2 linked regions of the Arabidopsis thaliana genome follow. The protein of the gene in region 1 interacts with the protein of each later gene in a biochemical or structural test. Each region holds a gene or a part of one and is shown in the gene's direction. Other genes may lie near its edges.

Region 1 (16,232 bases):
TATTTCAGTTTGGAAAAAATGTACTAATTAGTTGGAACCAATTGAGTTTTAGAGAAATATTGAAGAAACAAAAAAAAAATCAAGAGAAAAAGGATAAAGGAGAGATGTTCCCTAACAACACTACAAATTACAATTTCCTCACTTTCTTATTTTCTTACTGCCTCCGCCTCCTCTCTGTCCCCTCTTTTCTTCCATTATTTTCATTTGCATCTTCTCTTTATTTCTTTGCAACTTTAATCTTATGATATGTAAATTGTAAATATACTCATTTTTTTCTATATTGAATAAAAAAACTTTTGTTAGAAAAAGATACACATATACGATATTTCCTCAAAAATAATATGAAGTACTGATTTTGGCAGTCATTATAGAATTGCATTTTATTGGAAAGATACACACATAGTTCAAGTACTTTATATATGCGCTAATTTTGAGAACTCCACTTTACTGCGTCGTGGTTGCTTGTCAGTCAAAACTTGGGCTTGCTTTTAAGATGCGTGATTGCATTTGCATGTCTCGTGGCTTTCTTTTTCTGTAGCCCCTCTTGTTGGACTAATCATAGCCTTTTGTTTCCTCCCTTTGCTTTAACATTACTGAAATTATCGGATTGTTTCTTTCATTTGTTGATTGGATGTATGTTTACATTATTACATGTGTATTCATTGTTATAATATACAAGTTTTAAAACATTACTTCCCCTACCAAATAATTTCAAATATATATATATATATATATATATATTCATGAAGCATTTTTTATTTTATTTTGGTTTAATGAAGCATTAAATTTTGAACTTGCTTATGTTACTTTTATGATATTGGAAGAAGTCGAATTATTTCTTCGTTGATATCGTATATAAAATTTAAAACTCATAGAATTTCTATTCAAAAAGTAATTGGTGATTAAATGAATGGAGTGCCTATATATGTATTTTTTTTTTCTTGCAATCAATTTTGATTTAGAATTTGCATGCATGATATTTTTTTAATATTTTTTTATCCTTTAATAATTTTTTTTTATATTATCTAAAGTTGTATTTGTATTCCTTACATAAAGTTTGGTTACTTTCATCTCTAAGGTAAACTGCTAATATTAAAGAAAGTAATTTAATGGAAGCAAAAAGTGTTAAAATATGTAATATAATTTGAATGGAAGAGTAGCCCCCGAGGGCAATCAAGTGGAGGTCTTCCATGGTTAGGATGCAGAAGCTTAATACGTTTATATAGATAGATAAACAATAGCCTCCATAAAGTAAAAGATACTTGCATGCGTGCGTGTAGGTATTGAGTCGAGATGTTACGTGCGTGTCTTTTTATAGATACTATATATTATTGGTTCTTCTAAATCCTTAAAAATGTTAAGATTACGCACGCAATTCATGAATTGTATATAGATTTACCAAATCTTGAATTGATTTTAAATTTCTTACAAAGCAAATACACTGGTAGTGTGACATTTTGTCCCTGTGGATTCTGTATGACGTAATCTCGTTCCTCACATTATGACACTTAATCGAGTGTTTTTTTTTCCCTATCATTTTTTTTGTAAATTTATCCTCTACAAATTATGTATGTTTGTGAACTATTAAATACGATGTTGATATATATATATATATATATATAAACTATATAATAAATAAGTGAATTATTTTACGAGTATGGATCATAAATAAAACATGGAATAACAATAGAATGTTTGTTAAATAGAACTCAAATTAATGATCAGTTATGTACAGTCCGGCCTTAGGCCCAGGCACTACCCACTTGGGCCGGGCCTGGTTATGTAGCATATATATAAACGCTAGTCACCGGGATAGTTGGACTTGGATGGCTCTAGCCTGACCCGTCAAAGTTTAACGGAAACTTGACATATGCAAAGACCGTCTCCGTTTGAACTTTGAAGCGATTGAAATTTTTTGAGAGGCGAATTAAGGCGCCAAAATTTTGAGAATGATAAGTAGATTACGACACATGTACTCACCTCAATCTGACGGTTACGATGCAATGTAAATACGAAGAAATCTCAGGGTTAAAATCGTCCAAATGTTCGGCGTCGTGTATACGCAATTCAGCTACAGACAGTGTTTGTTACACACCATTTTGAGAAATCTAAATTTTCATTTTCCCCCGCTTCTCTCCTAGAAATTTCGAATTTCTGCTTCTCTCTCTCTCTATCAGTTTTCTCAGATCTTATTCCAGTTAATATTCCGGCGATCTTCTTTCTCTCTTTGATCACTTAATTCTTCACCGGAATCAGAGAGTCAGGGCTTTCGCACTTGTACCCGCGAGCTTTGATTAGGTAATTTCTTAGCCAATGATACCATCGCTCGATTTTCTCTGTTTTCGTTTTCGATTCATGGCTCGTTACTCTCATATTCAGTGATAAGTCGTCGCGATCTATGCCCCCTTTCGTTAAATTGGTGTTATCGTCTCGATTTTGAGTTTAGTACCAGCGTTATAGTGTTGTCTTTGCATAATCGGAGAGTTTTGGTATGAAATTCGTTGCTAGAGATATCACATCTCGCTAGTTGTTCATCGTTTCAAGCATCTATTATCTGCTGCTTCTCTTGTTTTCGTCATATTATCCAGATCTAGCACCTTCTTATTTTGGGATTTTCTATTACCAAATTTTTTATCCGAGTGTTAGAAATTTACCATTCCTAATGATTAATTTATCATCCATTATCGCTGAATATAGCCTGCGTTGTACTGCTTTACTTCTCTGTTTGTGTTGCTATTCAGAAATTATATGAGTGATTAGGTGTTCGTTGATATTTACATTCTTTTTCCCAGCAGAATTGTTAACCTTGTGGTGATACATTTCAGGAAAAGATGAGCGACTATAGAAGCTTCGGCAGTAACTACCATCCATCAAGTCAATCTAGAAAGATTTCTATAGGAGTTATGGCTGATTCACAACCGAAAAGGAATCTTGTGCCAGATAAGGATGATGGAGATGTTATTGCTAGAGTAGAAAAGTTGAAATCAGCCACCGTAACTGAATTACAGGCGAACAAGAAAGAGAAAAGTGATTTAGCTGCCAAGCAAAGGAATTCAGCTCAGGTCACAGGACATGTGACCTCACCTTGGAGGTCTCCGAGATCGTCTCATCGGAAATTAGGGACTCTTGAGAGTGTTCTTTGTAAGCAAACATCTAGTTTGTCTGGTAGCAAAGGATTAAACAAGGGACTTAATGGAGCACATCAGACACCAGCTCGTGAATCATTTCAAAACTGTCCCATTTCGAGTCCTCAGCACAGTCTTGGTGAGCTGAATGGTGGCAGGAACGATAGAGTGATGGATAGGAGTCCAGAGAGGATGGAAGAACCTCCATCTGCAGTCTTGCAGCAAAAGGTTGCCTCACAGAGAGAGAAGATGGATAAGCCAGGGAAGGAGACAAATGGAACTACTGATGTTTTGAGATCAAAACTGTGGGAGATATTGGGAAAAGCTTCACCAGCAAATAATGAAGATGTGAACTCTGAGACCCCAGAAGTTGAGAAGACCAACTTCAAGTTGAGTCAAGACAAGGGTTCAAATGATGATCCTCTTATTAAGCCTAGACACAATTCAGATTCTATCGAAACTGATTCTGAAAGCCCTGAAAATGCTACCAGAAGGCCAGTAACCAGATCTTTGTTGCAGAGGAGGGTAGGAGCCAAAGGTGTCCAGAAGAAAACCAAAGCTGGTGCCAACTTAGGTCGCAAGTGCACAGAACAAGTAAATAGTGTATTTTCTTTTGAGGAAGGTTTGCGCGGAAAAATTGGCACTGCTGTGAATTCCAGTGTTATGCCAAAGAAACAAAGGGGTAGAAGAAAAAACACTGTTGTAAAATGCCGTAAGGCTCATTCTCGAAAAAAGGATGAAGCTGATTGGAGTCGGAAGGAGGCGAGCAAGAGCAATACTCCACCACGTTCTGAAAGCACAGAAACTGGCAAAAGATCTTCATCTTCAGACAAAAAGGGAAGTTCCCATGACCTTCATCCACAGAGCAAAGCCCGGAAACAGAAACCAGATATTAGCACAAGGGAAGGAGATTTTCATCCATCGCCAGAAGCTGAGGCAGCAGCTCTGCCAGAGATGTCCCAGGGATTATCTAAAAATGGCGATAAACATGAACGGCCGAGTAATATTTTCAGGGAAAAGTCTGTTGAGCCAGAAAACGAATTCCAGAGTCCAACCTTTGGATATAAAGCACCAATCTCAAGTCCTTCCCCATGTTGTTCTCCAGAAGCATCTCCTTTGCAACCTAGGAATATTAGTCCCACATTAGATGAGACGGAAACACCAATATTTAGCTTCGGTACTAAGAAAACCTCTCAAGGGACAACAGGCCAAGCGTCAGATACAGAAAAGAGATTGCCTGTAACCTTCATAAACTGAAGCGGCTTTATCTATACTTAAGTTGCATATTGACTTTATATACTCCTCTTTGACTTTTGTGTTTACTTATTTATTTTCAGGATTTCTTGGAGAAGAAAAGAGATTATTCTTTCAGAAGAGAAAGTTCTCCTGAGCCAAATGAAGATTTAGTTCTGTCTGATCCGTCGTCTGATGAGCGAGACTCAGATGGTTCAAGAGAAGATTCACCAGTGTTAGGCCATAACATCAGTATGCTTCTTAATTCTTATCCTAGACCATATAAAAACTGGAGGATCTTATTTTCTTCTTAACAGAATCCATGTTTTGCTTATTCTATTGATCTTCTGATTCAGGCCCCGAAGAAAGAGAAACTGCCAATTGGACTAATGAGAGATCTATGTTAGGCCCTAGCTCAGTTAAACGGAACTCTAACCTTAAGGGCATTGGACGTGTCGTGTTAAGTCCTCCCTCCCCTTTGTCAAAAGGTATAATGCTCATTTGTATGTCACTGTTGTGGGTTTATATACTGCACCCTCATTTGTTTTGTCCTGGAAACTGAGCAGGGATCGATAAAACTGATTCCTTCCAGCATTGTTCAGAGATGGATGAGGATGAAGATGAAGGCTTGGGAAGGTCTCTTGTAGATATAACTAATATTACGTGTCTATCTTTAATCTTTGTTCCTGTCTTAAGTTGATTATTTACCATGTCTCAGGGCTGTTGCATTGTTCGCTATGGCTCTTCAAAACTTTGAGAGAAAACTGAAATCTGCAGCTGAAAAGAAGTCCTCAGAAATTATAGCATCAGTCTCCGAGGAGATACATCTGGAGTTGGAGAATATCAAGTCCCATATCATAACAGAAGCGTATGTTTGTATAATTTATTCTGCATTCTTTCTTTTAAATTATCAATCAAAGATCTTGTTAATTATGGTACAGGGGAAAGACAAGTAACCTAGCCAAAACTAAGAGAAAGCATGCCGAAACAAGATTACAAGGTACATCAACACATTATATCTTAATAGTTAATACTGTACTCGAATTCACAGTCATGAACATTAAGAAAGCTTAGAAGTTCAAATATACTATCTTTGCAGTTTAATCCTGATTCAAGGTAGTAGATCGGAAATTTGATATCAAGTATTACTCTTTAGATTGCATTTAGTCTTGAAGTACTCACCATCTTGCTTCATTCTTGTGCTTTCATGTCTCTTTGATTAGACACACACACACACCTAACTATACTTTCGGCTCTAACATAGACATGAAACTTGCATTTAACATAGTTATATCAAGACAAAGCTAAATGCTCAATTCATTCCTATGTGGAGAATAATAAAAAATTGAGCTGTGTATTGTTGTGGAACATGAGAGTCTGGAAATGTCTCCATATTTCCACTCATTGAATAAAAATATGCAAGATCCGTTCTGATCTATTGTGTTCACTGATAATATCTAATCGTCTAACAGAGCAAGAAGAGAAAATGAGAATGATCCATGAAAAGTTCAAGGACGATGTCAGCCATCATCTTGAAGATTTTAAGAGTACTATCGAAGAGCTTGAAGCAAACCAGTCAGAGCTGAAAGGAAGCATAAAGAAGCAAAGTATGTTAACTTCTGTAATTCCTGCTTTTACTACAACGAATTCTAACACTAGAAATACTTGAAACATATGATGTTATCAAAGTTAGATTCTTCATGGCAAGATAGTTTTAATATAATAATAGCAGGAGGACAAGTATTTCCTAAACTCACTTGATAACTTTTTATCTCTCTATGACAGGAACATCACACCAAAAACTCATTGCACATTTTGAAGGAGGCATCGAGACAAAACTGGACGATGCGACCAAAAGAATCGATTCTGTAAACAAGGCAAGTCATTGTTCTGCTTCTTAAGAGTCAGATTCTAAAAATGGTTAAATCATGAATTCAAAAGCACAACTTAAAAATGACGTATTGGTTTACAGTCTGCGAGAGGAAAGATGCTGCAGCTGAAGATGATTGTCGCAGAATGTTTGAGGGATGATTGACACTGAGTCTCACAGAATCAATCAACCACACGTACGTCGTTATTCTCCATTTTAAAACATAAACTAGACGAACTGTGTTAACCAGGAAAGAAAAACCTCTCAAGCAAAACCAGCCTTTGGTTTAGTGGTCTCATGAGTTCAGGCGAATAAAGAAGATATAGTAGATGATGCTTTGACTCATTGTCATTGATTCGTATTCGTATAGAATAGTTTATTGTTCACTGAACCACTACAAAACTACTTATATCATAGAGCCTTATTTTATATAGCAGTTTGAAGGTTTCTTTTTAATTTATTTTTGCCAGCAACTGCAGATATTTTTTATTAAACCAACAACTTTTAATTAGGTTATTGATATCTTGATATATATCGAAGCAAAACCAATCCAAACATTTTTCTTTTAAAAACCAGAATATTTTGCAGACGTTGATGTGAATTTTAATTACAATATTTTACTTTAACAGAGATGTATTTCATATTGAATATCAAAACCAAACTGAACAAAGAATGGTCACAATTCGATATCAATCGAATGAAACAGAAAATAAAATGTTGGACCCAACAATTTTACTGTGATGATAAAAACATGGTAGAGATAATTTTGTTTGTAAATAGAGAGATCTCAAATCACAGAGGATTCTTTTTTTACGGTCGGTAAAAGAATTTAGAATGTGTCGAGAGGGTAAAAATGGAGAAGACGACAAGATAGTAGCAGTCGTTAGAAACAAACAAGAAAGAAGGGAGGGAGACAAAATAACACAAAGGGGTGGATGAATCACGCGGCATTCACGTGAAGTGCACGTGAACTTGGCCAAAAAAAGCCTAATTGTGGGTCCCATTTAAAGAGAAAACTAAAGCCTTTAAGAAAGGGCCCATCCATATATGTCTTAATAATGGCGTGAAGGTTCTTTCCGCTCACGTGGGCCTTTTGTGCCCGTCTCTCTCGCATGTCACTCACTACAGTTTTACTAGTGTTTTGTTTTATTTTTGATAACAACATTATTGATTTTTTTTCGGTCTACCTAAGTTTTGACCTTTCTTTTTTAATTGTGAACAATTGAACATGCGTATTACTTATTGATAATACTTTTATCTTCAATAAAAAAAATAACACACGAACATAATATAGAAATAGTGTGTTCCAATACTGGAGATTATTTAGTAAGTTCAGTTGGACGCTTTGTCATTGCATAGTTTGGAATTTATTCCTAAACTTTCTAAGAACACGTTCTTATAGGAATTTGCATGACGAAAAAATCAATACTAGTTGCATTATTGTTGGAGCATCATCGGGAGTGATTTTTTTTGTGTTTTCCTATTTACTACATTGTGTTTTCCTGACCTTTTAAATAAAAAGGAAATACACAAAACCATATATAAATATATGTATATATATATCTGACTGTGCTCAAGTAAAATTCACGGATCAGACGTTAAAAAAATGATCATGCTTAATATTTTCTCATTTTAGATGAAGACAAAAAAAAAAAAAAGGAATTGCAATCGTAGATTTGACTTTATTTTTATTTAATTTTTCTATTCTTTTTCCGAAAGCAGAGAAAAATGGAGCGGTGGAGAGTAGAGAAGTCGGTCATAAGAATGTCTCTCTCTCTATTTCTTTGTCTTTCACTATCGCCCATACATTATCTTGCTTCTTTCATTTATTCCATCAATATTTTTGTTTTAAAATGAAAGATTTACACATTAACATGAATACTTATACTACTCTTTATCGCGTATATATAGTATAGTCTATGTTATTATGAATTTATGATTATATTTTTTCTATAAAACGTGCGAAAACTCATTTCACATATACAAACAAATATATACGTTTTGTATTAAAAAAAAGCAACTGTAAATTTTATAAATCTGAAATGTAACATTTGAAGTCGACCAAAGTTTGTAAGGTAATAATTTGTACTAATTCTCCATACTGTGTCATAATCACGATTCAAGGATAAATATATGAGTTGTGGACCAAAACAAATCCTCCATATCAATCAATCATAAATGAAATAAGCGAATATACATATATACAACCGACTATATATATATATATATGCTGCTCTTCATTAACCCCAAGAAAGAAAACCAAAGTGTGAAGTCCGAATCTCTCTGATTCTACAATTCACAAAAACCGGAAAAAAAAAAAGACAAGTAAAGAAAGCTTTGTTCAGTTTACTTCAATGGAAGCAAAACCCTTAGCATCATCATCATCTGAACCAAACATGATTTCTCCATCATCAAACATTAAACCAAAGTAAGTTTATTATGGTTTCATCTACACTTTTTGCGACTTCTATAAACATATACACATGCGTGGTTTTGAAATAATGGGCGCTTATGGTTCTGTCGGTGCTTGAAACAATTTTGTCTTCTCCTGACTATTTTTTTTTTGTTAATAGGTTATTTATACGTGACTCTTTTCTTGCAGATTAAAAGATGAAGATTATATGGAGCTGGTGTGTGAAAATGGGCAGATTCTTGCAAAGATTCGAAGACCAAAGAACAACGGTTCTTTTCAAAAGCAACGTAGGCAATCTCTCCTGGATTTGTATGAGACCGAGTACAGCGAGGGTTTCAAGAAAAACATCAAGATTCTTGGAGACACACAAGTTGTTCCGGTGAGTCAGTCTAAGCCACAACAAGATAAAGAAACCAATGAACAAATGAACAACAATAAGAAGAAGCTAAAGTCCTCCAAAATCGAATTTGAGAGAAATGTTTCGAAAAGCAACAAATGTGTTGAATCATCAACATTAATTGATGTTTCTGCTAAAGGTCCAAAGAATGTTGAAGTTACTACAGCTCCTCCTGATGAGCAATCTGCAGCTGTTGGTAGATCCACGGAATTGTATTTTGCTTCTTCATCGAAGTTTTCTCGAGGAACTTCGAGAGATCTAAGTTGTTGTTCTTTAAAGAGGAAGTATGGAGATATTGAAGAAGAAGAATCAACCTATTTAAGTAATGTAAGAGAAATTAATTAGCTGCTTGTCTTAGTTCTTTCACATGGTAGATCATTAATTGTCTTTTTCTTATTGCTTATGCAGAATTCAGATGATGAATCAGATGATGCGAAGACACAAGTTCATGCGAGAACAAGAAAGCCGGTGACTAAAAGAAAACGAAGCACAGAAGTCCATAAGTTATATGAAAGAGTGAGTTTATATGTATGAAAATTTCACCTTAGTTAGTAGAAAAAAAATAATGTATGAAAATTAATGCTAATTAAGGATTTGTTAACAGAAACGAAGAGATGAATTCAACAAGAAAATGCGTGCTTTGCAGGACCTACTACCAAATTGTTACAAGGTTTGAGATTAACTTAAATCACATTACATTGTTTACTTAGTCTTAGAGAGTTAATTAATTTTCTCTTTGTGGAGATTTCTGAATATCTGTAATTGTTGATGATAGGATGATAAGGCTTCATTGTTGGATGAGGCTATCAAATATATGCGGACCCTTCAACTTCAAGTTCAGGTATTCAAAATAATACACCAATTCAATAAAATTTCATTGAGAGATAATAAAATGATTCAGGTGTTAATTATTTAAACACAGACTTGTGTTTATATTTACATATAAATTTGTTTTTTAACATTAAAATATACTTTGTAAAGTGTTTTTGTTATCAAATATTATTGCGTTTGGCTTTTACCTTTACGAATGATTCTTGATAAAGTCACTAGAAACTAGTTTCATAAGAGAAACCAAAACAAATTATAAACGTAATTAAACACTAATCAATAAACAATCAAAAGTTTATTCCTTATTTATTTTACTACAAATTTTTTTACATATATATAAGATTCTTAATTAACATGCTCTAATAATTATTTACAGATGATGAGTATGGGAAATGGATTAATAAGACCACCTACGATGTTGCCAATGGGTCATTACTCTCCCATGGGTCTAGGAATGCATATGGGTGCAGCAGCAACACCAACATCAATACCGCAATTCCTGCCTATGAATGTTCAAGCAACCGGTTTTCCGGGGATGAACAATGCACCACCACAAATGCTAAGCTTTCTTAATCACCCAAGTGGACTAATTCCAAACACTCCTATCTTTTCTCCATTGGAAAATTGCTCTCAGCCATTCGTGGTGCCTTCGTGTGTTTCTCAGACTCAGGCTACTTCTTTTACTCAATTCCCAAAGTCTGCGTCCGCCTCAAACTTAGAAGATGCAATGCAATATAGAGGAAGCAACGGTTTTAGTTATTATCGCTCGCCAAACTAATGATTTGTAGAAAGTTGATGTTTTCTCCAACTAACTAACTTTAAGCAAAAAAAAATGATCGTCTACTCTGTGTTGTTAGTCTATGGGCTTTTGGGCCTTGATTCTTGGAACGATTTGAACTTAATTCCAACTATTTTCAAAGTGGATGTACAAAGTAAAATATAACAAATATAAGTTATCATAGACTCTATAACAAAGTTATAAGTAGAGGACGTGCAATTGCATAATGATGGATGATGATGAGTGTTCAATTACGATAAACCGATTTTAACGCAAACCCAACTAAGATGAAGACAACTCATTTGACCTAAATCGTAATTTGAAACGAATTTTGCCATGTTTTTGGGATTAAGGAACAATCTCAATGATGAGATTGAGTAAAGTACTACAAAACTTGGGCTTGATGGGCTTTTTAGTGGACTAATATCTACTTTATTCTTTCTTTTTTCAAACATTAAAAAATTAATTGGGCTTTTTCAAACACGAAAACAAGGGAGTGCAATAGTGTGATGAAGATGAGACTCACACATTGAATTTCTGATATTTTAGCGTCAGGTGCGTTGAAAACTTGAAATCAATGTGAAGATTCTCTTTTAAAAATAGATGACTCTTATTTCATGAGTTAACATGATACTTAAAGAAAGTGGATAGTTAAGTCTAAACCAATTCTTTTAGTATAGAAATAAAATTTCAACCACTTCCTTTAAATATGAAACCATGCAAAAGTAGATAACAAACGAAAAAGTGTTTCATTTTAAGATTCGATGTCACGATCCATCACATTGCACCGTTGGTTGATAAATATCTCTCATCTTTGTTTATTTATTTTCACAATGTTGTACTTCTATTTCTATAACATTTTCGTTTGAATTCAAATACCAAATTAACTCTCCAAACAATTAGTTCATCAAGTATTTTGTTCACAATGATATGTTAACAACAAATCATTGATTCATTGTCCATGCCGGATTATTTTAAAGATACAGAAACAGTAAACCTAAGATACAATGAATGCTAAAACTAAATTATTCTCCCAAAAGGATTACTTAGCTTTCATGAGTAATTTTATATTTTTCTTTTATCCACTCATTTTTTATATACTTTCTATAATTGTCTTATTACGTAACAAATATGTGCTATAGGCATATTTAGAATCTACTCTATCATCATACCATATATAAGACACATTTTACTTTATTAATTACTTTTTGTTTGTTCTCAAATTGAAAATAAACAGACGTGTTTGTGCTAACTTCATGTAGTGTTTAGATAGTGTTTCATTCACTGGCCATAGACTTATTTTACAAAGTTATATGTGCATGTCATTATATAGTGTAGAACTTAAAACACCTAACCAAGAACAACAATACACACACACAAACATAAGGAAAAAAAAACTTTTCCATGGGGCTCGTAATTTTCTTGGCACTAATTGTCTTAATCCTTATTATTGGTCTCAGGATATTCAAAGCTTTTATGATTCTTGTTTGGCATCCATTTGTGTTGACCAGAAGACTCAAAAACCAAGGAATCTCAGGCCCAAATTACAGAATCTTTTACGGAAACCTCAGCGAGATAAAGAAGATGAAGAGAGAATCTCATCTTTCGATTCTTGATCCTAGCTCCAATGATATTTTCCCTCGTATTCTTCCTCATTATCAAAAATGGATGTCTCAATACGGTGTCGTTTTCTCCAACTCTCTCTTTGTTCATCTTTTATTTTAGATTTTATTCGAGGATAATGCGTAACACACAAGTTATCTATGTTATATATTATTAGGAGAGACTTTTCTTTACTGGAACGGAACAGAGCCAAGGATATGCATCTCAGATCCTGAACTTGCAAAAACTATGTTGTCGAACAAGTTAGGTTTCTTTGTCAAATCAAAGGCAAGACCTGAGGCTGTTAAACTTGTCGGCTCCAAAGGACTTGTCTTTATCGAAGGTGCTGATTGGGTTCGCCATAGAAGAATCTTGAACCCTGCTTTCTCCATCGATAGGCTCAAGGTATTTTAATCCTTCTTTCTTAGCTTGACTTGAGAAATTAAACATTAGAGCCGAATAACTTAATTTTGGTTGTAAATTTCTCATTTTGTTGATCAGATCATGACGACCGTGATGGTTGATTGTACGCTCAAGATGTTAGAGGAGTGGAGAAAAGAGAGCACTAAGGAAGAAACAGAGCACCCGAAGATTAAAAAGGAAATGAACGAAGAGTTCCAAAGACTAACAGCTGATATAATAGCAACCTCTGCGTTTGGAAGCAGTTACGTCGAAGGAATCGAAGTGTTTAGATCACAAATGGAGCTTAAAAGGTGTTATACAACTTCTCTCAACCAAGTCTCTATCCCTGGAACTCAGTAAGTTAATCATTCTCCTACTTTCAGTTCTCAAACAAGATTCTTAGGTTTTGACATATATTGGTCTTGTTTCTTGTATTCTAAGGTACCTTCCTACGCCTTCGAACATTCGGGTATGGAAGCTGGAGAGGAAAATGGATAACTCAATTAAGAGAATTATAAGTTCGAGACTACAGTCAAAGTCAGATTATGGAGACGATCTTCTCGGAATCTTGTTGAAAGCTTACAACACTGAAGGGAAGGAACGGAAGATGAGCATCGAAGAGATCATACATGAATGCAGGACTTTCTTCTTCGGAGGTCACGAAACTACTTCGAATTTATTGGCATGGACAACGATGTTGCTGAGCTTGCACCAAGATTGGCAGGAGAAACTCAGAGAAGAGATATTCAAAGAATGCGGTAAAGAAAAAACCCCAGATTCAGAAACTTTCTCCAAACTCAAGCTGGTAATGTTCATTTTTTTCAAAGGGTCTCTTGTGAGACAATGTTTCTTGCGGTTGAAGAAACCTGTTTATTTCTTGCAGATGAACATGGTGATCATGGAGTCGCTTCGACTTTACGGACCAGTGTCAGCTTTGGCCCGAGAAGCATCAGTAAATATAAAGTTAGGTGACCTAGAGATTCCCAAGGGCACAACCGTAGTCATCCCGCTTCTGAAGATGCATAGCGACAAGACCCTTTGGGGATCCGACGCCGACAAATTCAACCCAATGCGGTTTGCAAACGGCGTTTCCCGAGCCGCCAATCACCCAAACGCTCTCCTAGCATTCTCCGTCGGACCAAGAGCTTGCATTGGCCAAAACTTTGTCATGATCGAAGCCAAGACTGTGCTCACCATGATTCTTCAACGGTTTCGGTTTATTAGCCTCTGTGACGAGTATAAGCACACCCCTGTGGATAACGTCACTATTCAGCCTCAGTACGGCTTACCCGTAATGCTTCAGCCTCTGGAAGACTGAAGTAAAATGCCCAAATAAATCGGATGTCTTAATGAATATACCTCACGTGTGTGACAAGTCTCCTCCATATAGGCCGGCTTATTGCTGATGGTGGGGGCTTAACAAATCATCCTTGTTAAGTTATTGGGCTTTTACTATCTCAGTTTGGAACCCTTGATGGGCTAAATAGTTATTAATAATTTAATATATTGTGACATTGCATGTATAATTGAAAAGTGGAAGGAAGTGTGTAACGGTTATGAATTCAAAAGCCAGGCTAAAGCAACTTGAAAACATGAGTAATCGACAATTCAGAAATTATAGGAATCTCGAACCTCCTTTCGTTCAGAAAAAGACAGTCCAAAATGTTAATAAGTTATAACAATATAAATTGTCCTCTATGACTTCAAAATATTTTATTACAGAAATGGCAAAATGCCAAACGAAAAATCTGGATCGCTGTTTACATTATTTGTGGTTGCCTTGTGAGACGATCACGTGAACTTTAGCTTTTACACGATTTTCTACGTGTGTCATATATCCCAAGAAACAACATCTACAACTTCTGTTTCTAACTTGTAACGTGTAAGCAAGCTACAAGAAGATAAAGATTACTTCCATAAGCAATGACGGCATCTGTTATAATCGATGCTGTTAAAAGACTGTCCCCACACCTCCATTAGCGATAGGCGATTTTAGAATCCGAAGTTTCCTTTATTGTCCGTTACGTTGTCTTACTTTCTTTCCCATGTAAAATAAATTCCCATTACTCCTATGTTATTTTGTTCGGTTAGAATTTTATTCATTATATCTTCAAAACAGCTTGTGCTTATATCAGAAACAGAAGTCACGACGACCCTCACACTACACACGACACATAAAATTGAAAGCCCCACTGCGAATCCACCACAAAGCAAAAAAAATTTGTTTGTTATTCGAATGGAGCTCCTGAGCACGATCAATCTCTTAGCAATAGCTCTAGTGCTTCTTGTAGTTCCGAAGATATATGGAGCTTGTCGGATCCTTGTTTGGCGGCCATGGATGCTATCGAGAAGATTCAAGAAGCAAGGAATCTCTGGTCCAAAATACAGGATCTTGTATGGGAACCTCCGAGAGATTAGGAAGATGAAGAACGAAGCTAAGCTTATGGTTCTTGATCCAAACTCCAACGATATCGTCCCTCGCGTCTTACCTCATCTTCAGCAATGGAAGTCTCAATATGGTGCCGTTTTAGTTCTCCATCTTCTTTGATCTTTCCTTTTCTTAAGTTTTTTGTTTCACTAGACAAAGATGCCTAACTAACACGTTAGCAATGGTATTTCTTTAGGAGAGACCTTTCTTTACTGGCAAGGAACAGATCCAAGGTTGTGCATCTCAGATCATGAGCTCGCGAAACAGATCTTATCGAACAAGTTTGTTTTTTTTTCTAAATCAAAGACAAAACCTGAGATCCTTAAACTTTCTGGTAATGGACTTATCTTCGTAAATGGTCTTGATTGGGTTCGTCACAGACGAATCTTAAACCCTGCATTCTCTATGGACAAACTCAAGGTTCTTTAAAATCATTCCTTCTTATATCTAATTAGTTGACAGTAGAAGATAGCACTTTGTTAACATTTCCTAAATTTCTTCAGCTCATGACCCAATTGATGGTGGATTGCACTTTTAGAATGTTCCTTGAGTGGAAAAAACAGAGGAATGGTGTAGAAACAGAGCAATTTGTGTTGATTAGCAGAGAGTTTAAGAGATTGACCGCTGATATCATAGCGACGGCTGCGTTTGGAAGCAGTTATGCGGAAGGAATTGAAGTATTTAAATCACAATTAGAGCTCCAAAAGTGTTGTGCTGCTGCTCTTACTGACCTCTATTTCCCTGGAATCCAGTAAGTTTCAGTATAATCACTCTTTTGTTTTTAAACTTCGTTCTTGTTTTAGTGATTTGAAAATTGGTTTTATTTCTTGTATCCCAAGGTACCTTCCTACGCCTTCGAATCTTCAAATATGGAAGCTTGATATGAAAGTGAATAGCTCGATCAAAAGAATCATAGATGCGAGGTTAACATCGGAATCCAAAGATTACGGAAACGATCTTCTGGGAATCATGTTAACAGCTGCAAGCTCTAACGAGTCTGAGAAAAAGATGAGCATTGATGAGATCATAGAAGAATGCAAGACGTTCTTCTTCGCAGGACACGAAACTACTGCGAATCTATTGACATGGAGTACAATGTTGCTTAGCTTGCACCAAGATTGGCAAGAGAAACTCAGAGAAGAAGTTTTCAATGAAT
Region 2 (14,602 bases), 5.0 Mb from region 1:
TCAAATCTGGTGACAATTAATACATATCATAACTTAAATGAGATTTTCACTGATTCATAACAAACTATCTAAAGATGACTTACCATAAAAGAATGTATGGATCAGACTATGGGACGTAGTGTTTACCCCGTAAATCATTTATATGAAAGTTGATTAATTCTCTTCATAAGAGTGAAACATCATCAGTCAAAAGACCGATACGTGTCATTAAACATAATTAACTAAACTCTTTATCTTTCATTCCAAAAGTTAATGATACATTTATTATTGTACTATTTTACTATATGTTATTAGTTTTATCATGCTATGTTTGAGGTTTTTTCGTTAATTTTTTTGTAGTTTTAACTTAAAATATGAATAGAATGATAGTATATCTAGCTAATAGTTTGAATATGTTATTTTCTTTAATTTTTATCAATACAAAATACATTTAGAGAGTAATGAGTACATAAGAGGAACTACATCATCAAGTTATATATAAAATTAGTTTAGGATAAAAATGATTTCAAGAGTGTATGAGTGATACATTGTTGGGAAAGTTGCTAGAAAATTTGTTTCGATACTTGGTGATACGTTAGTTTCAATTACATGAATGAATGATTAGAAAACTAAAAATTTACATTTATCAAAATATGACACTAAATAAAATAAAATACATTTTGAAAAAAGCGTGGGTAATCTTTGTTTGTTTTTTGAATATCTGAAAATTTCAATCCCAAAAGCCTTTTCTAGAGGCGGGACTCACACCAAATTAAATTCATCTCATTAAAAGAATAAATCATTTCCAACGGACGTTGAATTTATCGGCTGAGAGATTTACCATTAGGCCAACACCGGATTGGGATAATCACCTAGTAGAAATGAATATGCAAAAAAAAAAAAAATTGGTAATCCTTCCAAATTAATTTGCAAATGAAAATTTAGAACCATGTTTAGTTCTCTATAGAACAAACTGTTCTACAAATGTTTAGATTGCAATAAATCCATCAAGATCTTATTAACAAATGAGGAGAAAGAAACAGTATAATATTAGTTAGCGAGTGTATTCGCAAAAGTCCAAGTTTTTGTAAGAATATAATTGTCATCAATCAATTGTTGTCACACCAAGCATAACAGAAACTTACAACATAACATAAAACAAAAGCAAAACTAGGGTTGATCAATGATCATGAGGTGAAGGCGCCGGCGAGTGAATCGGAGTCATCGGAAAGAGAGAGAGAAGTCGAGGCTCCGTATCCCTCGGAGTTGTCGACGGTGACGGGCGCAAATAAAACCCTTTCTCCTTGATCGATCTTTCTTGGTCATCATCGAAGCTCGGTTTCGAATCACTAGGGCTCTGACTAAAAGACCCCGGTCGATAAAACGGATCAGACATGAGAGGAGTGTCAGGGCTGAGATCGAGAGCCGGAAAATTCAAGATGGTGGGAGTGAGAATCTCGGGTGGCCCGGAATGGGTCGGGTTGATGTTGAGATAATGCTTCATCGAGTTGCGACGTTCGGAGAGTCGGAAGGACGAAGATTGTTTCTTGTTGGTCACGGCTTTGATCGGAGGGATTGAGTGAAAAGGAGGAAATCTCGGGTCGGGTTGGTGGGTCGGGTTCTTGGGGATTCCGGTGAGCAGTTGGACGACTTGCTTGAAGGAAGAAGGATCGGTTCGGATGAAAGTGGTTTCATACATGTCGTCTTTAACGTATCTGGTCGGTGTAGTGGTGCAGCTGCTTGGTGAAGGAAGCAAGTTCTTTGCTTTATCTCTGTATCTTGGTGATTTCTCCATTGATTGAGAAGAGAAGTTCAATGGATGTATATTTATGTTTTACAAGCAATATAATCTCTTGTTATATAAGATCAGAAAAAAAAAATTTAGTTCAACATTATATGAACGTGTTTATGGTAAGAAAGTTAATTAATTTTTTTGGCATAAAATAGTATAACTCTTTTATTTAGATTTTGCATATATTTAATTTTATTATTTGGAAAGAAATTTGTTCTTTTGGATTGGCTTGGTGAGAAATGTACAAGTGGTACATACATATTGACCTTCCCATTAGGGTAAATATGACTAGCTATTTGTAGAATTGTAATCTCATGTCACGCGCCACTGTCAGAGTTAGGAACTGCCAACGTTTGTTGGTGTGTGGACCTGTTGACTTGTGATTTTCATAGTAATGAGATTATTAGTCAACATATTTTTAGTCAACGCATTTACCTTCTCAAAATTTTCAAAAGAGTATCTAACCATAGATATGGGATTATATTAGTCAATACATTATTAGTCAACACATTGATTTCACAAAATCTTGTTTTTGACCACAAAATCTTTGTGAAGATAATACTGCAGATACATTCAAAAACTTCCCATAATTCAAAATATGATAAATGTGCGTTATTAGTTATTACACAAAAATTCAAATATGAGTCATCTGTGTTGGATTTAGGCATTTAGCTTATTAAAAACTTTTCTTTCCAAACTCATTGTGTTTTGTGTATCGTTCACGGAGTAATTATGAAGAAACTAGAGAAGTTTTGAAGCACTAAACAAAGCTAAACATCAAAATATTTCTTTTTCTTTTAATGATAGAAGGTACCCAAGCTAATCTCTAACCATAAAAGAAGATGTTTATTGATATCAAAATCAATCATTATTAACCATAGAACGACAAGACGATAATGACCACCATTACATGGTTGAAACATCAAATTTTTAACAGCTAGACATTTCATAATGCAAGATGTTCCATCAAGCACAAGATCATACCACTCGACCTTTCCCCATATTTCTCCTCCTTCGCGCCTTTCGAGGGCAATCTCTGCACACCAAATTTCTGTTGTCTCGCTCATTTTCTCTATTTTATGCAAAAACACAACTAATTTTCTACCATAACTTGTTGTGAATGATCGTGGACCGTCCAAACGTAGTTTTAATTCCACACCGTTCACCACTTCCCAAATCCTCTCTTTCGGGTCATACGCTCTTATACAATTCATGTGATTATCATAGTAGTACAATACATCGTCTATAACACATGAACTAGCTAGACCATTTTTCAGAGTGCAACTAAAAATATAAATATGTAGGAACAAGTTAATCCAATGAGATCTTATTATGGAATGAAGTCTTGGGTAAGTAATTTGTTATTGGGTGATTTTGAACGATTGTAAAGTGTTATTAAGTTATACCAACCCATCTATTTACCATGTTTTTGCCAAAAGATATATGTGTTGTCAAAAATATATAGATTATGTAAGTTTAACAAAGTCAATAAACTTTATATATTTTGCCAAGTTGCCTAATTAATTTTGATTCATCTTTCAATTGAAGATATATAATGATGATAAATGATAGGAGATCTACTAAATTTTAACTGATCTTACAGAAAGTTTTTTCCTAAAATCAATTATACAATAATGACAAACTTACGTACAAAGATGACTGTTCGTACTCGTAGGTCGAAATCATAGATAACATTTTTATATATGGCATCAGAGGTTTCGTACAAAATGAACAAATGTACAGTATAATTATGAAAGAAAATTATTGTACTAGTTGCTCAACACTTGTCAATACTTGTTCTGATATGATGGTGTTGGAGATAAATTTGGTCATTTCGATTCCTAATGAATTAATATATAGGCTAATATATCAACGGTTGTGTTCATTAACATCCACATAACATATTCAGAGTCTCTTTTATTTAGCAAACTATTTTTTTCTTTTTTCTTTTGGGGTCACGAAGATAAGGAATTAACAAGAAAAACCTAATATGTAAACGTCACCACTTTTTATTTAAGAAGCAAATTAGAAAGATTAACACTACCAGAAAAGCCCATACAAAGAAACCAAGCTGATACATATTCAACACAATCATTGATTAATAAAAGTTTAAGTAGCTCTTATAACACCATCTCATTTGGGGCAGGTAGGTTCGAATGCGAATGGACCAACGTTGTACACACTGTACTTGAACCATCTCATGATGGTCGAGGAAAATCCTGGTTTCAAGACCGGCTTTAGAACGGAGCCCTTGCCTCCATCGTGGAGTGACGACACTTTGCTGCACTTGGTGTCTGGAGACTTCACGAGGAAAGCTCGACAACCTTTGATATCGTAGTTGGTCACCGTCTTAGGGGCCAGGAGCATGAAGTATCCGTTCTTGTCCGTCTTTGTCTCCGATATTGAGTTCTTCTTGTTCTTGCACACAAGTCTCACCACCGCATCTGTATCCCCAGATAACACAAACGAAATAAAAAGTGAAAATATAGTACTTGGATAGATTTGTTATACAGAAATTGTTTTAAAATAATGCAAGAGCATGTATTTGTTTAGATTAGTTATGGTAAATTTACCCTCTTTTTTTAAGAAGGGGCATGACTTGAACAAGATTTTCTTACTAGTTGAGCTAAATTTGGTATTATAGGAAACTTGGGGAAAACAATGACAAGGCTTCGCTACAGTAGATTGTCTTAACCAAAAACCTATTGATTATAATTAAATTAAATTCAAAAGCATTGAAAGAAGTTACTTAGTTTTCCATGGTATATTTTATGTTTATCAATTCGTGAAGGGACCAGAATGATACGACCGGCTCTGAACTAATCTCGCTTGGTAGCATATAGTTAAAAGTTTACACAAAAAGTTTTGAACAACCGACAATGAGATTATGATACATATAACATATGCCTAAAATAAATGTAAAGGATGAAGTATGCATGCAGCATACCTTTAGCAAAAAAAAAGTATGAATGCATGGGATTGAAGTGTGGACTTTTCACATACGGACATACCACGGTCCACAGGTGCGTATATTAAGGGTTCGAGTGATTTTTAGGATAATATATAGACTTTCATATCATGAATGTATATAAGTGAGTACCTTTAACGGGTTTAGCGCCTTGGACGTTGTTGACGCCCGCGTACTTGCAAGCTTTGCAGTAGACCACACCTCTAACTGCCACTAGGGTCTTGTTGTACTTAGGAGGGTAAACTGGTGGGAGAACAGGAGGTTTGATCGGTGGGAGAGTTGGTAACTTAATCGGAGCTTTGGCTGGTGGGAGAGTTGGTAGCTTGATCGGAGCTTTGGCTGGTGGGTAGGCTGGTAGTTTGATGGGAGCTTTGGCCGGTGGAAGAGTTGGTAGTTTGATTGGAGGTAGGGGAAGGTGTTGGGGAAGGCTATGGAAGGGATCTGATGAACCAGGTTGATTCACTCCTAAGGTGAAAACAGAGGAAGTGAAGCACAAAAGTGCAAAGAGAGTTAGAGAAACACTCTTACCAATGATTCCCATCTTTGTTCTTTTGTTTTTCTTTGTGTGTGTGACTTTGGGTTGATGTGACTTGGGTGTATTTATAGGAGATATCGGGCTACAATTTTTTATACTTCATATAGATACTAGAGAGTAGAGGCATACACAGCACATGTACACAACTGGCGAGAAGTTTCCGATCGATGTAGTCCCGTTAAAGATTTAGATTTAGATCTCCTAACAGGTTTGAATACTTGAAGCAAGAAACTCGATATTGATTTGTAGTACAGTCACTTCCCGGGTTTTTTTAATAGAATAAATGAAAACTTCGTCAACCTACCTGAAGTTTATTTTTTCTGATGAAAAGATAATAATTAACGAATGCATCACAGCTGAATTCAATACAGTGTTTAGTCATATATATGTTAATATTCAACAAATTAATGTTATGATTTGAAAGTTTTATGAGAAAATTATAGTCATGTATATGTGAATTTCTTATAGTTTGTGAATTTAATGAGAGTTAGTAAAAAAAAATATAGATATAATTTTACAAATTCTATTGGACAATATGTAAATTTACAGTGTAACTTTCAATGCAAATATCTGGGATATAGATAGTATTAGTGCATGAGTTTTCATTCATGTTCCATGTTTTGTGGTCCTTAACATGGGCATGGCAACAAGATGCGCCTGGTGCGGCTTCAACACATTACAACACATTTAAAAGTTCAATTAATATCCACACTTCTGTTTCTATTTATTTGGGTTTCCAATTTGATTAAATTAGCAAAACGGTGCCTATAAAATTATTCTTAGATCAGGATAAGATAAAATACGTTAAAAAGTCAACTAGATTTTAATGAAACTGGTAAAACAATGCCCGTGTAATTATTCTTAAATCAGGAAAATAACTATTAAAAATTGATGTTAATTAATAGTGGAAACTCTTTTGGTCTAGTGTTTTACAAAAAAGATTTATACTTTCATCGTTTCACGTCATGCATAAGATTTCATTTCCTAAACTATACAATGCCTTGGAGATTATAAGTGCAATTCTTTTGGAGGTTCTGAATAAAGCTATGTGAGATCAAATACTTTTTGAAAAATTCCAAGCTTCGCAAACGTATGGTATAGCGTCACATGTAATATTTAGAGTGTTGAACCACAGAACTTTGATAAAACGTTAAATGGTACGGTGATATGTATTTAGTTTTTAGGATTGGTATTAACCTAAACCAAAAAAATAAAAATAAAGCGTGAAGATATACATAAACGTAAACACAATGGCCTTAAGCTTTGAGAGAAGAGGTAAGACAGATATACGCTAGAGTAAACCATAAACTAGGCCTAGGGGTGAAAGTTTCTAACTTTCTATACTTCAATGATCAATCTCAAGATAACAATGAGATCGACATGCAATAATTTGAGTTAATTTGGGTTTGAGTTGAAGGAAGTTTTCATACGCATTTTTAAGCCATGAGGCCCAATGATGTTTTGACAAAAAAATAGAGGCCCATGATGTATCAAGTCTCATATTTCATTTGGGTTAAAAATTGATGTAAATAGAAGTAACAGTGACTTTTGTTACCCACAATTTGAAGAATTATATGCATAGAATAATTTTTTATTTTTATAATAGTAATTATGTTAGCCATAACTTAAAGAAGAAAAAAAAATCAAAAAAGAAAACGAAAATAGTGAGAGTACGTGATCAGCTACGACGGCATCCACAATACGTAAGTGGGCTATATATTATTGTGAAGTGTGAAGTCTTCTAACAAACAAACAGAATTTCAAAATTCAAATTCAAATCCAAATCACACGAGCGAGAGAGAGCAGATAATCGCCACTCGCCAGAGCTATTGATTTCGCTTCATCGAATCTCACACTCTCTAAGTTTCGTCTGCAATGTCGTCTACCAGAAGAGGCACTAAGAGAACTCGGCCAGAGCCGCCGCAATCGCTCAAGAAGCCAACACCGAAAGCAAAACTCCCGGACGAATTGGATGTCGATGTTTCTAGGTCCGTTCTCGTGTTTTCTTTTGCTTCGTCTTCTTCTTTTTCTTCGTTTCTTCTGTTTTTTTGCTGAAATGTGACTCGCGATTGTGTTTCCGTGTTGATCGTGTAGCGATTTCAAAGGAATCATGTCGGCGTTGCAGCAATTCAGAGAGAAAGCGCACGAAGATGGCCGTAAGAAGAAGGAAGAAAGCATTTCCAGGTCATATATCTCTCCGTTACATGTTTCTCTCTGATTAGGTTATGTAAACTTCGATTTCATCATTCACTATGCAGTTATCGAGATATTCATGTCGATCGCTCATGTGCATTTGTTGATGGAGCGTTTCTTCTAATTGTTATCGTTGGTACATGAATTAGATCTGGATCTTGTATCGCAAATCAATTTATCAAGTAGATATAGCTAGATGAAGCTAAGGTGTTTGATCATTTGTTCTAGCATTTGATATTGGTTGATCTGTTGTGAAATTGGTTATGGTATGCTCATGTATCGCTTAAACTAGAAAGCATATATATGTTCGATTGATAGATATCAAGCTCTTTTATATGTGGATTAGTCTGGATCTTGTATCGCAAACCAAATATCAACTAGTTTTAGCTAGATAAAGTGTTCGATCATTTGTTCTAGCCTTTTTGATATTGGTTGATCTGTTGTGAAAGTGGTTGTGGTATGCTCTTGAATTTCATAATCTATAAAGCAAATGTTTGATTGATAGATATGAAGCTCGTTTAGTTTCATAGATACAGAATGATCAGTCTTTTGTTCATCAGCTCTGAAGCACTCAGCTATCTATTGTGCAACTGGTTTTGGTATTGCTCTTTGTCTCCCTTAAACTAGAAAGCAAATGGTTGATTGATAGATATGAAGCTCGTTTGATTTCTTAGATACAGAACGTTTAGATGTTCAGACTTTTGATTTTGATACTCAACTCTGAAGCAATCGGTTGATTTGTATCACTACTTGGTATCTAGTAGCATGGTTTTGTCATTTATTGTTCCAGAAAGATAGAATCATCTGAGGATTGTGAGTATCCTGCTTTTGAAGTGTCGTTTGTTTTATATTTGAATCTTTCTTTAATCCTTGTGTATCTTTCTGGCAGTGTGTCCACTGAGGTGAAGTCAAAGATTGACGAGCTGAAGTCAAAACTTGAGAAAGAAAGGTAGGCTATGTTGTTGAGGATAGATGTCTGATATTCAATTACATGCTTTGTGAATGTTGGTTTGCAAGATTCTGATGAATTGTGTCCTTGACTTACAAAATGCAGACAAAACTTTTCCAAAGCACTTTCAAAGAGTTCAAAGGAGGTCTGAACAAACATCCTAAGACGATGTTCAACTTAATTTAGCCTTTAGAAATGTACAAGGATCTGACCTGATCCATTTTTGCAGTGTGAGAATATTTTGAAGGATGAAGCTGCCAAGTTTGAGGAGCTTCATAAGAAATTCGTGAAAGACAAAGCTGATCATCTACAAGGCTTGAAAGGTATTCTGGTTTTGTCATCTCTTACTGTTGGGCGTCAAAAGTGTAGATTTCTTTCATTAGCTAATTGGGATGTTACCAAAAGTATTGAACATGTGTTTCTGCTTTACAGACACTATTTCAAAGTTTGAGGAGGACAAGGAGAGGCTCTACATGCGATATGAGCAGCTAAGTAAGCAAACCAACCCCTTATAATGACACCACTGTTATGAGAAGATGGCAAAACTTACTCACTTCCACCTGTAAATAACATATAGGGAAGAAGGAGAAGACAATGATAACGGAACAGGAGAAGTTCTGCACTGAAAAGCTTGCTCAATTGGAAGAGTCACTGAAGAAAAAGAAACGGGTAAATTAAAGCCTGTTTGATCTTGTTATACATACTCTCTCTTTAATCTTGTTATATGACTGAACTATGAATTCTCTGGGTGTAGGGTGACAAAACTTTCAGCATACTGAGGAAAACTCTCGGCTCTTTTCTGGAAAACGAGGCTTCTGATGAGGAATTCCCACCTGATGAGTGAAAGATTAACGTCTTTTTCACTTGACGCTAGAAAGGTAAAAAGCCCTTTTACTTTGATCAGCCACCCCAGACATTTCTTTCAAGTTTTCTTTCCCAGCAGAAAACACACTTATCTCAAGTAGTGTTTCAAGACTTTGAATACTATGAATATGAACCTTATTTTCTTCTATGTTATAGTTTGAAATGAAAGATTAATTACATTTTAGCTGGCTTCACCACAAGTTAGCTAACAATTATATTCACCACAACTCTGATTCATAAAGAGCTTCAATTATTGATTATGGATATATAGTTGTAGTTAAAGCTTATCAACCGCTCCTCCAGCAATCACACTTGTACATGGTGAAGCTGGTCTAAGCATCACCTTGGCTGCTCCATAATCACCCTCTTATCTATAAAACAAAACCAAACAAACCCATCTAATTCATAACTAAAACATTCAGGAACATAAACCCTCCCAAATTGCTCCCGAAGTTTTAGCTCCAAAGCCTATCAACCAACTGATTCTTCTAAACATTTGTGAACAATGCAAACATCAGTTTCATAAGACCATATAAACCAATTGAATGTTGAACTATTCATAAGAGTTCAATTTGGATAAACTAATTTATTGTTTTTTGATTAAATATGAAACCGACCCTTAATCTATAGCTAACATAAACTTCATTTTCCTAGGACCAAAGACGGAATACGAAACGCAAAAGTCAAGTGTAGTTTGGTTACCATCTCCGAAATCTAAAACCTAAACCGAAACCCAAAATTCAACTAGAAGGAAATGTGAATCTCACAAGAACTGGATTTGGAACTTAGATGAACGTATGGGCAGAGCAAGAAGGTGATTAATGAGTTGCTGTTTCTTGTTATCATCATCAGCATCAATTTCGACTTTCATCACTTGAAGAAACCGCATTTCCCGCAAAAAGCACGTCACTTGTCTGAGCTCTCTATCACGTCCTCTATACCCATATATCTCCAACACCTTCACTTCATTTCGATCAATGAAGACTCCCTGATTACTTACACAGTGCAAGCCCATCACAAAGAGATCACCATTCATACAGAGTTAGGATTGTACGTAATACTTGACGCGGAAGCATGTGGATTAGTTAACTGCGTATATATTAAGTTTGGATTTAGACACCTTGAGCACAAAAGTTTCTAGCTTTGTAGTGAAACGTGAGTCTCTTGAGGGTTTTGTGGGATATAGAGTATACTTTGCTTTCTATACGTTGTCATCTAAGTGTTGGATAATTAACTGACCATGAAAGTGTTGTAAGGATAATTCCTCAAGTATTGGACAACAACAAAGCATTTTATGGCACAAGTCTTCGCATGTATACCAAGTTGAATGGAGAAGGAGACTCTTTTGCACTGAAAGAAACACTTGTGGTAATTATGATATTCGATCTGGACCATGATCTTAATTTTCGAATTTGTCAAAGACTGTAAGTACTAAATTGGGCTTGATGGGCTCTTCATTGGACTAACATAAATGTCTCGGACAAGTGTATGTGTTCTTCCTTGTACATTTTCACCTGCAACCTTATCAGCCATAGCTATAGCATTCTGAAATAGAATCGGTCAATGTGAACTTTTATGGGAGAAGAAAGGATTTACTATTTCAAAATAAACATATTTTCTCATGAATTACATCATTACAAGAAATCTCAACAAAAGAGGATGAAAATGTTAAAGCGAAGATGAGTTTTCACTTCCAGAGTTCTTCCATGGGGATTCCACGCTCTTGTGCAACATCGCGGAACTGTCTCATCTGTTGTACTGCTGCAAGAGTGGCTCTCGCATTGTTGAGAGCATTGTTGCTTCCAAGCTGTTTCCCCAATGCATTCTCGACTCCTGCCATCTCTAGCACAATCCTAACCGCTCCTCCAGCAATCACACCAGTACCTGGTGAAGCAGGTCTAAGCATCACCTTGGCTGCTCCATAATCACCCTCTGATCTATAATACAAAAACCAAACAAAACCCTCTTAAAACATAACTTAAACCCATCTCCAATTGTTCCAAAACATAGCTCAGTGGCCTATTAACCAACCGATTCTTCTAATTGATTGTGCACAACACAAAGATCAATCTCATAAAACCAGCATTCTGAGTAACAACTTCCATAAATCAATCCTTAAACCAAGCAAATCATCACATCCAACACAATGCTAAAAAGACTAAACCCCACAATCTTAGCTCATTGTCTACTGATTAACAAAAACCGATTCTTCTAATCATTAGGGCATTATTCAATATTTTAACTTTTGTGCACAATGCAAACATCAGTTTCGTAAAACAAGTACCATAACACCAATCTGTAAACCAAACAAACCCATCACAAATCCAACACATGACTGCACAATACTAATCCCAAAATCTTAGTTCATCACCAAGTAAGACTTTTACCATCCAAAACCAATTCTTCCAACAATTAACACACATTACAAACATCAAGTCCAAAACTTTGATTACCTGTGAGGGAAAGTAGAATACTTAGTCATAGGAACTTGAACAATGTTTCTCCTAGCATCAATAGCAGATTTCTGAACAGCAGCAACAACTTCTTTAGCCTTAGCACAACCAACACCAACATTCCCTTGTTTATCACCAACAACAACGATAGCTCTAAACTTCAATTGCTTCCCTCCTTTAACAACCTTAGTCACTCTCCTAACTTGCACAACTCTCTCTTCAAACCCATCTCTAATCTTATCTTTCTTTGGCTTCCCACCAATACCTGAACTCTTCTTATGCTTTGAGTCCATCACATAAATATCTTTCCCAAGCATACTCTCACCACTATACGCAGGTCCATAGAGCTCTTCAAAAGCGGTAGCGATCTCTTCCTCTGTCTCGTCGCTTCCTTCGTCGAAATACGGAGGAGAGACGAATCCTTCGGGAGCAATTGGTGGGTCGAAGACGACATTTGCGGTTATTTCTGGTGTTTCGTCTTCGAAGAAGATGGTTTCGGTATCGGTCGATGAGGCTTTGACGAGAGTGAGAGATGAGAAGCGGCGGTTGAGGAAGGAGGAGAAAGAGACGATGGATTTTGTGGAGGAAGAGGAGATGAGAGAAGAGGTTCGGGTGTGGAGTGAGAGTGAAGAGAGTGATGAGAGAGCTGATGCTGTCGCCATTGAAATGGAGGAGCTTTTTTGGATGAGGAAGGAAGTGAGAATGAAGCAAAAGGCTTATCCAGCACCAGATCGTAAAAACTGTAAAGATAATTGTGTTGGGGCTTTTAAAGTAATTATCAAGTTTCTTTACAAATTGGCCACAATATATTTTATAATAACATTTGAACCCTCATATCCTTTTGTTTGAATTTGGGCTCTTCGCTCACTCCTCCCTCTTTGTGGCCCAATGAAGTTTCTTCAAGCCCATACAAAAGTAACTAGTAGTAATCCACATCAAACCCTATAGGCTTGCGGATACATCTTAGGTTTACTAAATCTTAAAATAGAAAAGATCAGTGACCATATGCTAATTCAACATTTTATTTTTACATACTTTGGTCATTTTTAATATGGACTTTGTTTTAATTAAGATCGATTATACTAACTACAATCGCATATGACACCAACGAGCAACGTTAATTGCTTTTATGATTTTAAAAGTATGTGATTTGCAAACTAATTAAAAGGTGACCATATATAAAAGAGTGTACTACAAAAAGGGCCTACTACTATTCAATTAACGTTGCTCGTTAGTGTCACGTGGGGAAGTTAAGGTTCCCACTTCCCCCACCACTTCTCTCAGTTCTCTTCTTCTTTTTATTGTCCCATTCCAAATTTTAACCAACACATCAAGCAAACTTCATTAATTTATGTTCAGTGTTGTAGTTGCAAACGTTATTTATTATTTTACGTTTACAAGTTTAGAACTAGTTCGAATCGTGATAATCTTGAATAAATCATAACTTTGTTCATCTAATCATAAGAACATAGAACTTTGACATGGTGTCTCCGGATCTTGTTGACTTAGTTCTATCTTAAAGTTAAGCTACACATATTATAGGGACCCCATATTATAGTACCCAAACAAACAATTAGAGAGTTTGTATGCAAATCCATAATATTTACCGTAGAATTGTATGGGTTTAATGAGGAAAGAAAAAGAAAAGAAAAAGAAAAGAAGAGAAGGACACTGAAGGAGAATGTGATGCTGCTGAATAAAAGATACAATCAAAAAATTGACAGGCAGTACAATAATGATAAGTAGTGTCATGACAGCTGACGACTCTACTGCCCAATCTTGACGTTATTTATTTTTGTCCATTTTTTCTTAAGATATTATTTCAACTTAAAAGAAGTAGAAAATAAACCATAAGTGCATAACAATATTCCTTTTATAAATTGGGTTCAAGATATTGATTCGATTCTGTTTATTTCAAGTGTCGTGGAACTCAATTTTATGTTATGCCTGCCTCGGCAACAAAGATTTTCGTTCAAGTGGCTCTATGAAAATAAGTTAGGGCAAACTAGATCGATTGATGTAAACACAAATAGAGCTAAATAGTGGAGATAGTAAACTGGTGATTTTGTTTCGTAAATAGTCAAAAGGAGGGGGTGACAAAAAATAGATTTGTCCCTTACCTCTAAGAGATATAGAGCAAAACGTTTGCATAGCGCTGTACCATTTCCTTCTATATTTTATATATGTGGATGTGCATGGATCTAGCTGATGACATAACACGGCAAAATCATTTAACATTTGATTAGCATTGGCATCAATATTTGACGACGCTCCTCATTATTTATATATGTGGATGTGCTGATGTGCATGAATCTAGCTGATGACATAACCTAGTATATGTGCATGGTTTTATGGTGTGAACAAGTTTTTTTTTTTTCTTTTCTTGGTTTTAGGTGTGAACTTTAAGTTAGAGATGATCTTCAAATCTCACGAACCACAAACCTCCTTGCACGTTAAGAATAGCCTCTCTTTTTTTCTTTTGTTGCTTCTAGTCTCAGAGTGTCTTCGAGATATGTGTAGTCTTTAGTGTACCCTGAGACCTGAGTACAAGATCGAAAAGAAAATATCTCGAATAACAGAGTTGTGTTTGCTGTTTTTACCATTTAATTATGCTAATATCTTTGTTTTACATAATACCAATTGAAAAATGAATACATAATTCAAGTTTGGACCATTCTTGTATATCCACTTTTGGCTTCGTGGCCCCGATAGCTAATTTGATTGACCTTATCATCTACACCAAACAAGAAATTAAATTGTCAAATTAATTTAGTGGTGGCCCTATACTATAAAATCGTAAACACTTCTTTTTGAAACTAAATATAAACCTTACGACACATTTATGTGCAAATTAGTGGACATATTCCTC

What was found.
Region 2: the proteins of ASY3 (region 1) and AT2G33793 form a complex in vitro, tested with the Arabidopsis thaliana proteins (one study listed by BioGRID).

What each region holds. Positions count from the first base shown.
Region 1 is NC_003071.7:19,290,029-19,306,260, reverse strand, and holds ASY3 (asynaptic protein), read left to right. Parts: upstream 1-1,989; 5' UTR 1,990-2,298; intron 2,299-2,801; exon of another isoform or gene 2,802-2,825; 5' UTR 2,826-2,831; coding exon 2,832-4,364; coding exon of another isoform or gene 4,365-4,382; exon of another isoform or gene 4,383-4,394; intron 4,395-4,462; coding exon 4,463-4,610; intron 4,611-4,714; coding exon 4,715-4,846; intron 4,847-4,924; coding exon 4,925-4,994; intron 4,995-5,076; coding exon 5,077-5,226; intron 5,227-5,299; coding exon 5,300-5,358; coding exon of another isoform or gene 5,359-5,432; exon of another isoform or gene 5,433-5,830; coding exon 5,831-5,965; coding exon of another isoform or gene 5,966-6,027; exon of another isoform or gene 6,028-6,143; coding exon 6,144-6,235; coding exon of another isoform or gene 6,236-6,259; exon of another isoform or gene 6,260-6,330; coding exon 6,331-6,393; 3' UTR 6,394-6,769; downstream 6,770-16,232. Other genes in the region: PIL1 (phytochrome interacting factor 3-like 1), read left to right, coding at 8,583-8,656, 8,831-9,365, 9,447-9,554, 9,643-9,708, 9,814-9,879, 10,243-10,644; CYP709B1 (cytochrome P450, family 709, subfamily B, polypeptide 1), read left to right, coding at 12,049-12,325, 12,425-12,651, 12,748-13,004, 13,090-13,453, 13,532-13,966; CYP709B2 (cytochrome P450, family 709, subfamily B, polypeptide 2), read left to right, coding at 14,720-15,167, 15,273-15,496, 15,580-15,827, 15,916-16,232. UniProt on the Arabidopsis thaliana protein: Required for normal meiosis in male and female gametophytes. Acts with ASY1 at the interface between the developing chromosome axes and the recombination machinery to ensure interhomolog recombination.
Region 2 is NC_003071.7:14,289,958-14,304,559, forward strand, and holds AT2G33793 (DNA ligase-like protein), read left to right. Parts: upstream 1-7,036; 5' UTR 7,037-7,149; coding exon 7,150-7,262; intron 7,263-7,339; exon of another isoform or gene 7,340-7,368; coding exon 7,369-7,458; intron 7,459-8,356; coding exon 8,357-8,416; intron 8,417-8,521; coding exon 8,522-8,561; intron 8,562-8,645; coding exon 8,646-8,739; intron 8,740-8,848; coding exon 8,849-8,908; intron 8,909-8,993; coding exon 8,994-9,085; intron 9,086-9,170; coding exon 9,171-9,260; 3' UTR 9,261-9,294; exon of another isoform or gene 9,295-9,570; intron 9,571-9,751; coding exon of another isoform or gene 9,752-9,833; intron 9,834-9,934; 3' UTR 9,935-10,047; coding exon of another isoform or gene 10,048-10,295; 3' UTR 10,296-10,620; downstream 10,621-14,602. Other genes in the region: AT2G33780 (VQ motif-containing protein), read right to left, coding at 1,160-1,774; AGP30 (arabinogalactan protein 30), read right to left, coding at 3,905-4,215, 4,872-5,280; AT2G33796 (FBD-like domain family protein), read right to left, coding at 9,752-9,833, 10,048-10,295; EMB3113 (Ribosomal protein S5 family protein), read right to left, coding at 10,968-11,217, 11,734-12,395.